2 linked regions of the Schizosaccharomyces pombe genome follow. The gene in region 2 interacts genetically with the main gene of each other region. Each region holds a gene or a part of one and is shown on either strand. Other genes may lie near its edges.

Region 1 (3,761 bases), on a different chromosome or scaffold from region 2:
AAAAATCTAAGGTACCTTTGGATTGTAAACCATTTGATGACCGCTTCTTCTACTTATTCCTTTCAAAAATGTAGCTATTCTATGCGACCGTAATTTGGTTAATTTATGCTTTGGCCATTTCTCAATAATTTCAGCTTGAAGTTCTTGTTGAAACAGAAGAATGGTTTTTTGAGTGTCTCCTAGTCTGCAAAATGCATCATACATTCTCATTAAGGGTGAATGTGGTATGGAAAGCTGGTAGCTTTGAAGTATCACAGAACATATATCAAGTTTCCCTTTAAAAGCAAAGTAAGAGAGAAGGCAATTGAGTGCCTTTTTTTCTAGATGTAAAGCTCTGTTCTTCTCTGTGCATGATAAAGCGCTGGCTGAGTCAATGCCGTGTAAAGCAACATACCATATACTCATGTTAAATTCATGAGCATGAGCTTGAAGTGGAACAATTTTGATATACTTACAAGCAATTGAATTCTCAATTTTGTTATATTTCTTGATACACAATGGAAATGTTTCTCGATTTGAATCATTTGTCAATCCAGCTCTTAATAAAGGGAACATCAAATGCTGTTCACGCCCCCCATATACTATAAAACTTAAAACTGTTAGAGGAAGAAAAAAAAAATAAACCGCTTACTCTTTAAGGTTGCAAAGATGGGGAGTGTGGAATTTCCCAAAGGTGATATCGGTAACCAACGCAAGTTTATCAAGTTTCAGAATTACATACTGTTCTTCAGAGTTGTTGGGTTTACATATTGAAGTATTACAGCTCCATCGGCTGTTAGCCTGGTGTGGATTATCGATAAGTATATTGATAGGATGAAATGCTCCAGAATAGCTGGACCAGCTTTGAATGGTATAAGACAATTCTTTACGTTCCATTTAAAGAATCAATAATTATCTTCGTCTGACCGCTATGAGTCTAGCAACAATGTATGTGTATTGGAGAAATCAGGAAAGCACCTAATGTAAACAAACAAAAGAGGCAGTAATGATCGCTTCCTTAAGGTGCTTTACAGTCTTGGTAAGGGTCTAAACTTAAAAGGGAAATTTCAGTAAACAATTATAATTCATTTTGTAAAAGTTGAAATTGGATCCAGTATTGAACTTAACTTATTGACGAATATGAAGAAAGTAGTTCTGTTCTGCCATTCGATATTACAAAAGAAACTCCAACAGCTCTTTCGCATTTCTCCAGAAAAAAAAATAACTATTTTGTCATTATCTGAGAATTTCGCTCATTTATTTGGCAAATTAAATGAATTCACAAACTACCCAATCTTGCGATGGACCAAACCACTTTCCAAAATTTCAATTGTAACTAGAGCAACACAACCATATTAAGTATAAATTATTGGTTAATTAAGTATCCTCGTCATGAAAGCATGGTAGAAGATAATATGGGAAATCTATATGATGTTAGTTTAAATATTATATCTGATTCATTGACGACGTAAATTCCTCTTCTCTATTATATAATCACGGATCTTTGAGAGTCATTAAACGATTAAATGTTAATATGATAATCATATGATTTCTTTTTTATACAAAAACTATATAAAGCCCAAATTATTGTGTTCGGTATCATGGAACGAATACTAAGAAAAGCAAAGCGCTTATGTTGATTTTTTTACTTGGCTATCTAATGAACGCTTTCTTTTCATATATAATGGGGCTTGAAACTCAAGCTGCGCCTATATGTCAGTAATGTACGACACAGCATGCGCCGCTGAGTTCGTATATCAGAACTGTTTCTTTTGCTGCGAAAGAACTGTAAAATTGCTGTCACTGCATCCTTTTCACACGTATAATAGTCGAGCTTGTTGCAAACATCGAAAACGTCCCGCGTTTGGTTTATTTACATTGATATGACCCGTCTGTTTACACTTGGTTGTCATGACAACTTCGCTTTCTCAAAACATATTTTACTCGTAGCGGGCCCTCCGTGTCAATTGTGGCATTCCAAATTTACAGAAGATTAAGACTTTAAGAGATTGCGCCTCTGATGCGTATAAAAGGTTAAGAAACAATCAGCTACTTGCCTTTACGATTGAAAAAAAAAACCAGTTCTCTCTCTTTTGTTTACTATCCATACTATCTTGTTTACTCAATATCCTCGCGTTAAATCGTATTAATTTCAAAGAAATTCGTTTTACAACAGCGTTTTTGAAGTGTTTCCCTCTATTTTTCAGCCGATTTTTTGTCCTTCTTCTTCCCAGCTTCTTGAAGAATTGTTTATTTCTGGAGACTACATATCAGTTTTCCTTATTAATCGTGATATCTATTATATATAATCATATATATTATTCTTTCTTTTTGTCATCCCAAGCAAATTGGTTTTTGATATAACTGTTTGTCAAAATGGGAATGGGGTTCAATCCTATTAAAGCTTTGTTCACTGGTATTGGTACCGTTTGCGTTGGAGTTGGCGCGCTTTTGTCAATTCTATGCATCATCAATCAAACTCAGCATAACATTGCTTTTCAAAATATTTACTTTATTCAACTGAATACTACATCTATCTTTTCTGTCGCCAATCAAACTGCTGTTGTCAATAATACAAGCAACCTACTTAACGAGCTTACTGGAACACTGGTAGACACGCTCGAAACATATATTGATCAAGGTGCTACTGATTTAATCGAACAAGTTGAGCAGGAGATGAAGGACGTGTCTGAACTCCCGGACTGGTACTCCATTGGTCTTTGGAATTATTGTCAGGGAAATTCGTCTGATTATACAAATCCTACTTATTGTAGTACTCCTTCTCCTAGTTATTACTTCAACCCCCTTACAATGCTGGAAACCAGTATTAATAATGCAACTGGTAGCCAAATTAACATCACTTTACCTTCCGAGGTGGATTTAGGATTAAAAGTGCTTAAAGGGGCATGTTATGCTATGCGAGCCATGTATATTCTTGGATTTATTTTCTTTGCTCTGACAATAGTTTCAATCGTTATTTCTTGCCTTCCATTTTTTGGTCCCCTCTTTCTCAACGTCTTCTCATTCTTTGCAACTATTTTTACTTTTATCGCTGCAGTTATCGCAGTTGCAACTTATCGTATTGCAATTTCTGAATTGGAAAAAAATATCGAAATTCTTAACATTCCAATCGTTTTAGGAAAGAAAATTTATGCTTATTCATTCCTTTCAGCAGCTGCTGGCTTAGCTGCTTGTATTCTATATTTTATTGGAAATCTTACATCCGGATACAGTCCACTTTAAGTTGTATCGTCCGTTATTTATTGCCCATTATTTGTTAAAAATTAGCATGTTGTTTTATTTTCCCTTCTTTTTGTATTGATGTCAAGTTTCCTTTTTCTTTCATTTTTATGTTAGTTAGCATTGAGATTTGTTTTTCTTCAGATAGTTACTGTATTTAAAAATATACTTTTCTTTGACCCTTGTAACGTATATATATTGTTATTCAAGTATACTAAATTTTCATCCAAATAATGTTCATTAAGTTTATCAAGTGATTCAAAATGCTCCGTTTTAAACTATTTCTTTGTCTTCGGCCAGTAATTGTTTAATCCATGTAAGATAATCCAGTCCTTCTGAATGTTTGTTCATGTTGCATTCTAAAAACTTTACTATATTAGGACGAACCTGACTCCTCAATAGATCATCGGACGTGACATAAGATTTTCCGTCTGCAACATCACAAAACGCATATAAAACTTGACGAGCACTATCACGATCCTCTAATTCTTCCATCACGATTTCTGTAAAACGCTCATAAGTAACACCCTCTTCCGAGTTAG
Region 2 (3,761 bases):
AGATATACAAATTGCATCGTGTAATGGCTCAAATAAACATAACCTTTGATATTGTTCATCATTGTCAAAATCGGTTAACCTGAGAGCGTTCTTTTCCTCAAATAGTTTATCCTTTCTTCCATATAAACGTAAATGGTCAATTAACTTTCCGTCAATGGTGTTATTAATACCGGCTATTAATTCCTACAATTTAATTTCGTTAGCTATGCAATAAAAAAATATTGCATACATTTTTAAAATAACCCAACGACATAACGGCATCATCCGAATGCTTAAGTTCGATTTCTCCATGTTCTATAAATTTTGTATGACCTTCACCAACTTCAGGTTCATAGTCTTCATATGATAATAACTTCTAAATTCGACAAACTAATTAGCGCCTATAGTCCAATTGTAAAACATAATCTTTTTAGCTAACAATCCGGATACTAAAAAGTTTATAATGCTGTAAAATAGATAGATAATGAAGTAATCCTTCACTTACAGTCACGAATTGACATACCAATTTGTTTTTAACACCAGATTTTGTAGTTCCTCCTCCACCACCAACCGCCATTTGATGGTTATTAATCCAACAAAGAGAATAAGCTGGAAAAGAAAGGTGGAGTTCAGCCATTTTGATCTAATAATTAGAAAACACTTTAAGCTGGATACGAGGAATAGGAATGTATTGAAAAAATAAATCGATATCGGCGACGAATCAAAAAAAAATTCTACTTATTAGTGAGCAAATCAATAAAGTACACTTACAAGAATTCCACTAAAAAAAAACAATGTCTATTTGAATACGGTGGTGTGGGTATGTTTCGAAATCGCTGTGAACCTACTTCGAGACTTAAGCAAATACTGTAAGAATATTAGATCCCCGTATCAGAATCTATCGAATAATATCGACATCACTATCCTCTTTTACGTATTTAGGCGATGTTTAATATATACATAAGTTTTTATCCATTTTTTTATGACAGTAGAGAAAAGATTTAATTAGAGATAACCTAAATCCTTATTGACTTAAAAAAGGATGATACTTACTTGTGGATATTTATTTGCGAAGAATCTTTGAACAAACAGAAACTTATAATAGATTCTTTCTAAATCTCGGAGCATATTCTGGCTCATTTTATATTTATATTTTCCTTTTCAGCTTTTTAGAACTCAATTCCGACCTCAGTTTGGTTGCAACTTTGCTACAGACACTATTTAATATCTCGGTCTCCTGTACATTTTACCAGGTTTACGTTGTATTGTTTATATAGTTTATATAGCAATATTTACTACATGTTCATCATATTACGAAAATAGATTAAGAGAACTGGGGAAAGAGTGAGGAGATGAGAAATTTTCGGATTTATTTATAATTTCCAATTATTATTTTTAAGACGAAATTGCCGCGAGACTACATTGTCCATGAAATTAATGTTTGTGTTTATTCTACTAAAGGGTATGAATGCTCGATCTCGTGCCAAGGTGCCTACAATCTTAATACGCCGCTGCCTGTGTATGATTATAATATTACTTCTGTTTTTTGCACAGAAAGCGTGTTTCATTTCAAAGATTGACTTCCAATTAAATTTAATTAATAATATGTTGTTTCATTTCCTTATTTAACTACCAATTCTTGTTCATTTGCAATTCACTCAAATATGTAACTGAACGTTGTCAGGTAATTTTTTGGCTTTAAATGATATGCCTCAATGGAATATAAAAAAGCATAATCCTATATAACTATTGTTTTTTTCAGCTTCGTTTCAGTGAAATGTTATGCTGATACAAATTGATTGAAACATGAATGCAAGACTTTTTTCAACTCAACAATATTTTATTTATTAGTAAATTTTAGTTTATGTAATAAACTCTTCATTAAATTAATATAACTTTATAGTGCTGCTTTCTTTTTGCACATCGCACATTAATTGCAAAAACTCTCTTCTCCACATCCAGGGTATCTGATGTCCTCGACAAAGTCTCAGCGAACGAGCGATTTGGGTTTTTCATAGCAGAGAAGTATCCAAATTTCAAAAATATTATTATTTTACTGGCTTTATAGAGAAGTATTTAAATTTTTGCATAACCCTCAATTGATAGAGTGCTGTAAATTCTACTTACATTATTCACATGTCTGCCGATAAATTTCGTGATTCCACGCATTACAGAGATTGGATTTTTACGGAAGAAGACCTTTCAAAAACACGTGCTAAAGTAAATGAAAAATTTACGAATATTGTACGTGAGCGAATGCTGGAAGAGTTGTCTTTACAAAACAAGGAAGCATCCTTAGAAGTTTTGCCTCCAACTCTTACCGTTGAAGAAGAACTTGAACTTGTAAATTATTATAGTTTCCAGTTGAACGCACTTTCTTCCGCTCTTTCCTTACCAACTCATATTCGCGTATGTTTAGACATGGTCGGATTTCCTTCAATTACTTGGAAACTGTACTCAATATAAACATTCCGACTTTACTCACAAAATTTTAGTCCACGGCCATTCTTTTTTTTAAACGCTTTTATCTAATTAACTCTGTCATGGAGTATAGTCCAAAAATTATTTCGTATGTTTAAGTCGCCGAGTCCATTAAGCTAACATTGTTTTTCTTACATTAGGTTTACTTCTTTATTTTTAGCTACCAAGTGCAACGATCATTATATCTCTATTGAACAATTCTGTAAAAACATGCCCAAGACGACTCCCGAAGAAGTTCTTGAATACGAATTTAACGTTTGTCAATCATTAAAATGGGACCTTTACGTCTGGCTTCCATTTCGTCCTTTACAAGGCTTCCTTTTAGATTGTCAAACAGTGCTTCCGAAAGTTGCTGTCGAAAAGTTTTACGAATGTCATGACCTTTCCAAAAAATTCCTAATTGAGACATTGCATTCTGACATCTATTTCTTACATTCACCCAGCATAATTGCTTTGGGTGCTATTTATCATACGAATCCAACTATTTGTTTACAATATATAGAAGCAAAAAAAATTCCAGAACTGCAACCTTTGATAATTTCGATTTCTGCCAATTTGAAAGCTACAAAAAAATTTAAGATTGAGAAAAAAAAGGCACAAGATTACGGCAGAAAGCTATATTTCTGCATGAATCCTCTGCGAAACAAGTCTAGTGCTTTGTACCTTAAACGAAAAGCGGAAGAAGAATCAACTAATAACAACAAATGGGCTAAAAAGTTCTCAACCAGCAGTAATGTGTTGGATAAAAATCCGTTTGAATGATTCTTTCTTTGAAAAGTGCTAAATTTACTTCAATAGTCATTATTCGTCAATTTTTTTTACGACAAAATAGTTTACGTTTATAAAAAATTCCCAGTAAAATTCACTATCAAGTGTGTCTCATTAATTATTTTTAATGTCTATTTGTAAAATTAAAAACATTTTCATTTCTCTCACAGCCAAGGAGCCCATAAGACGTCCATCTGTGCCAAAACTTTGGAACTAGAGGCTTGCGCCAAATAATCAATAGCTGTTTGATTGACTGGTAAGTTACCATAAGCAACCTGACTTAATGATGCAACCCTTCGCATTATAAGATCAGTATTGCTATTGACTTTGTTGAGCATACTGAAATCTGCCGGCACGCCTTTAGTTTGCTGTGCAAGCCACCAAAAAAGATCATCTCTAATAAAGATACCCAAGTACATATCCAAATCGAAATCCGGTTTGGAGAGCGCGCGAGCTATAGCCATTATTGAAGGGCCCAGTAAACCTTCAGTACAAGTTTTTCCAATAAATTCTTTAATGTTGGGGGTAAAGCG

What was found. A genetic interaction does not mean that the proteins touch.
Region 1: mutations in mcs2 (region 2) and mde6 together harm fitness more than expected from each alone (negative genetic interaction), as found in Schizosaccharomyces pombe (one large-scale study listed by BioGRID).

What each region holds. Positions count from the first base shown.
Region 1 is NC_003424.3:3,694,623-3,698,383, reverse strand, and holds the start of mde6 (muskelin), read right to left. Parts: upstream 1,820-3,761; 5' UTR 877-1,819; coding exon 632-876; exon of another isoform or gene 590-631; coding exon 16-589; exon of another isoform or gene 1-15. Other genes in the region: pun1 (SUR7 family protein), read left to right, coding at 2,356-3,222; ain1 (alpha-actinin), read right to left, coding at 3,493-3,761.
Region 2 is NC_003423.3:1,891,041-1,894,801, forward strand, and holds mcs2 (transcription factor TFIIH complex cyclin Mcs2), read left to right. Parts: upstream 1-1,939; 5' UTR 1,940-2,115; coding exon 2,116-2,388; exon of another isoform or gene 2,389-2,474; coding exon 2,475-2,548; exon of another isoform or gene 2,549-2,600; coding exon 2,601-3,222; 3' UTR 3,223-3,368; downstream 3,369-3,761. Other genes in the region: GDP/GTP exchange factor Spo14, read right to left, coding at 1-183, 230-355, 503-616; SAGA complex, phosphatidylinositol pseudokinase subunit Tra1, read right to left, coding at 3,393-3,761. UniProt on the Schizosaccharomyces pombe protein: Essential for progression through the cell cycle. Possesses kinase activity that can be detected when myelin basic protein (MBP) is provided as an exogenous substrate.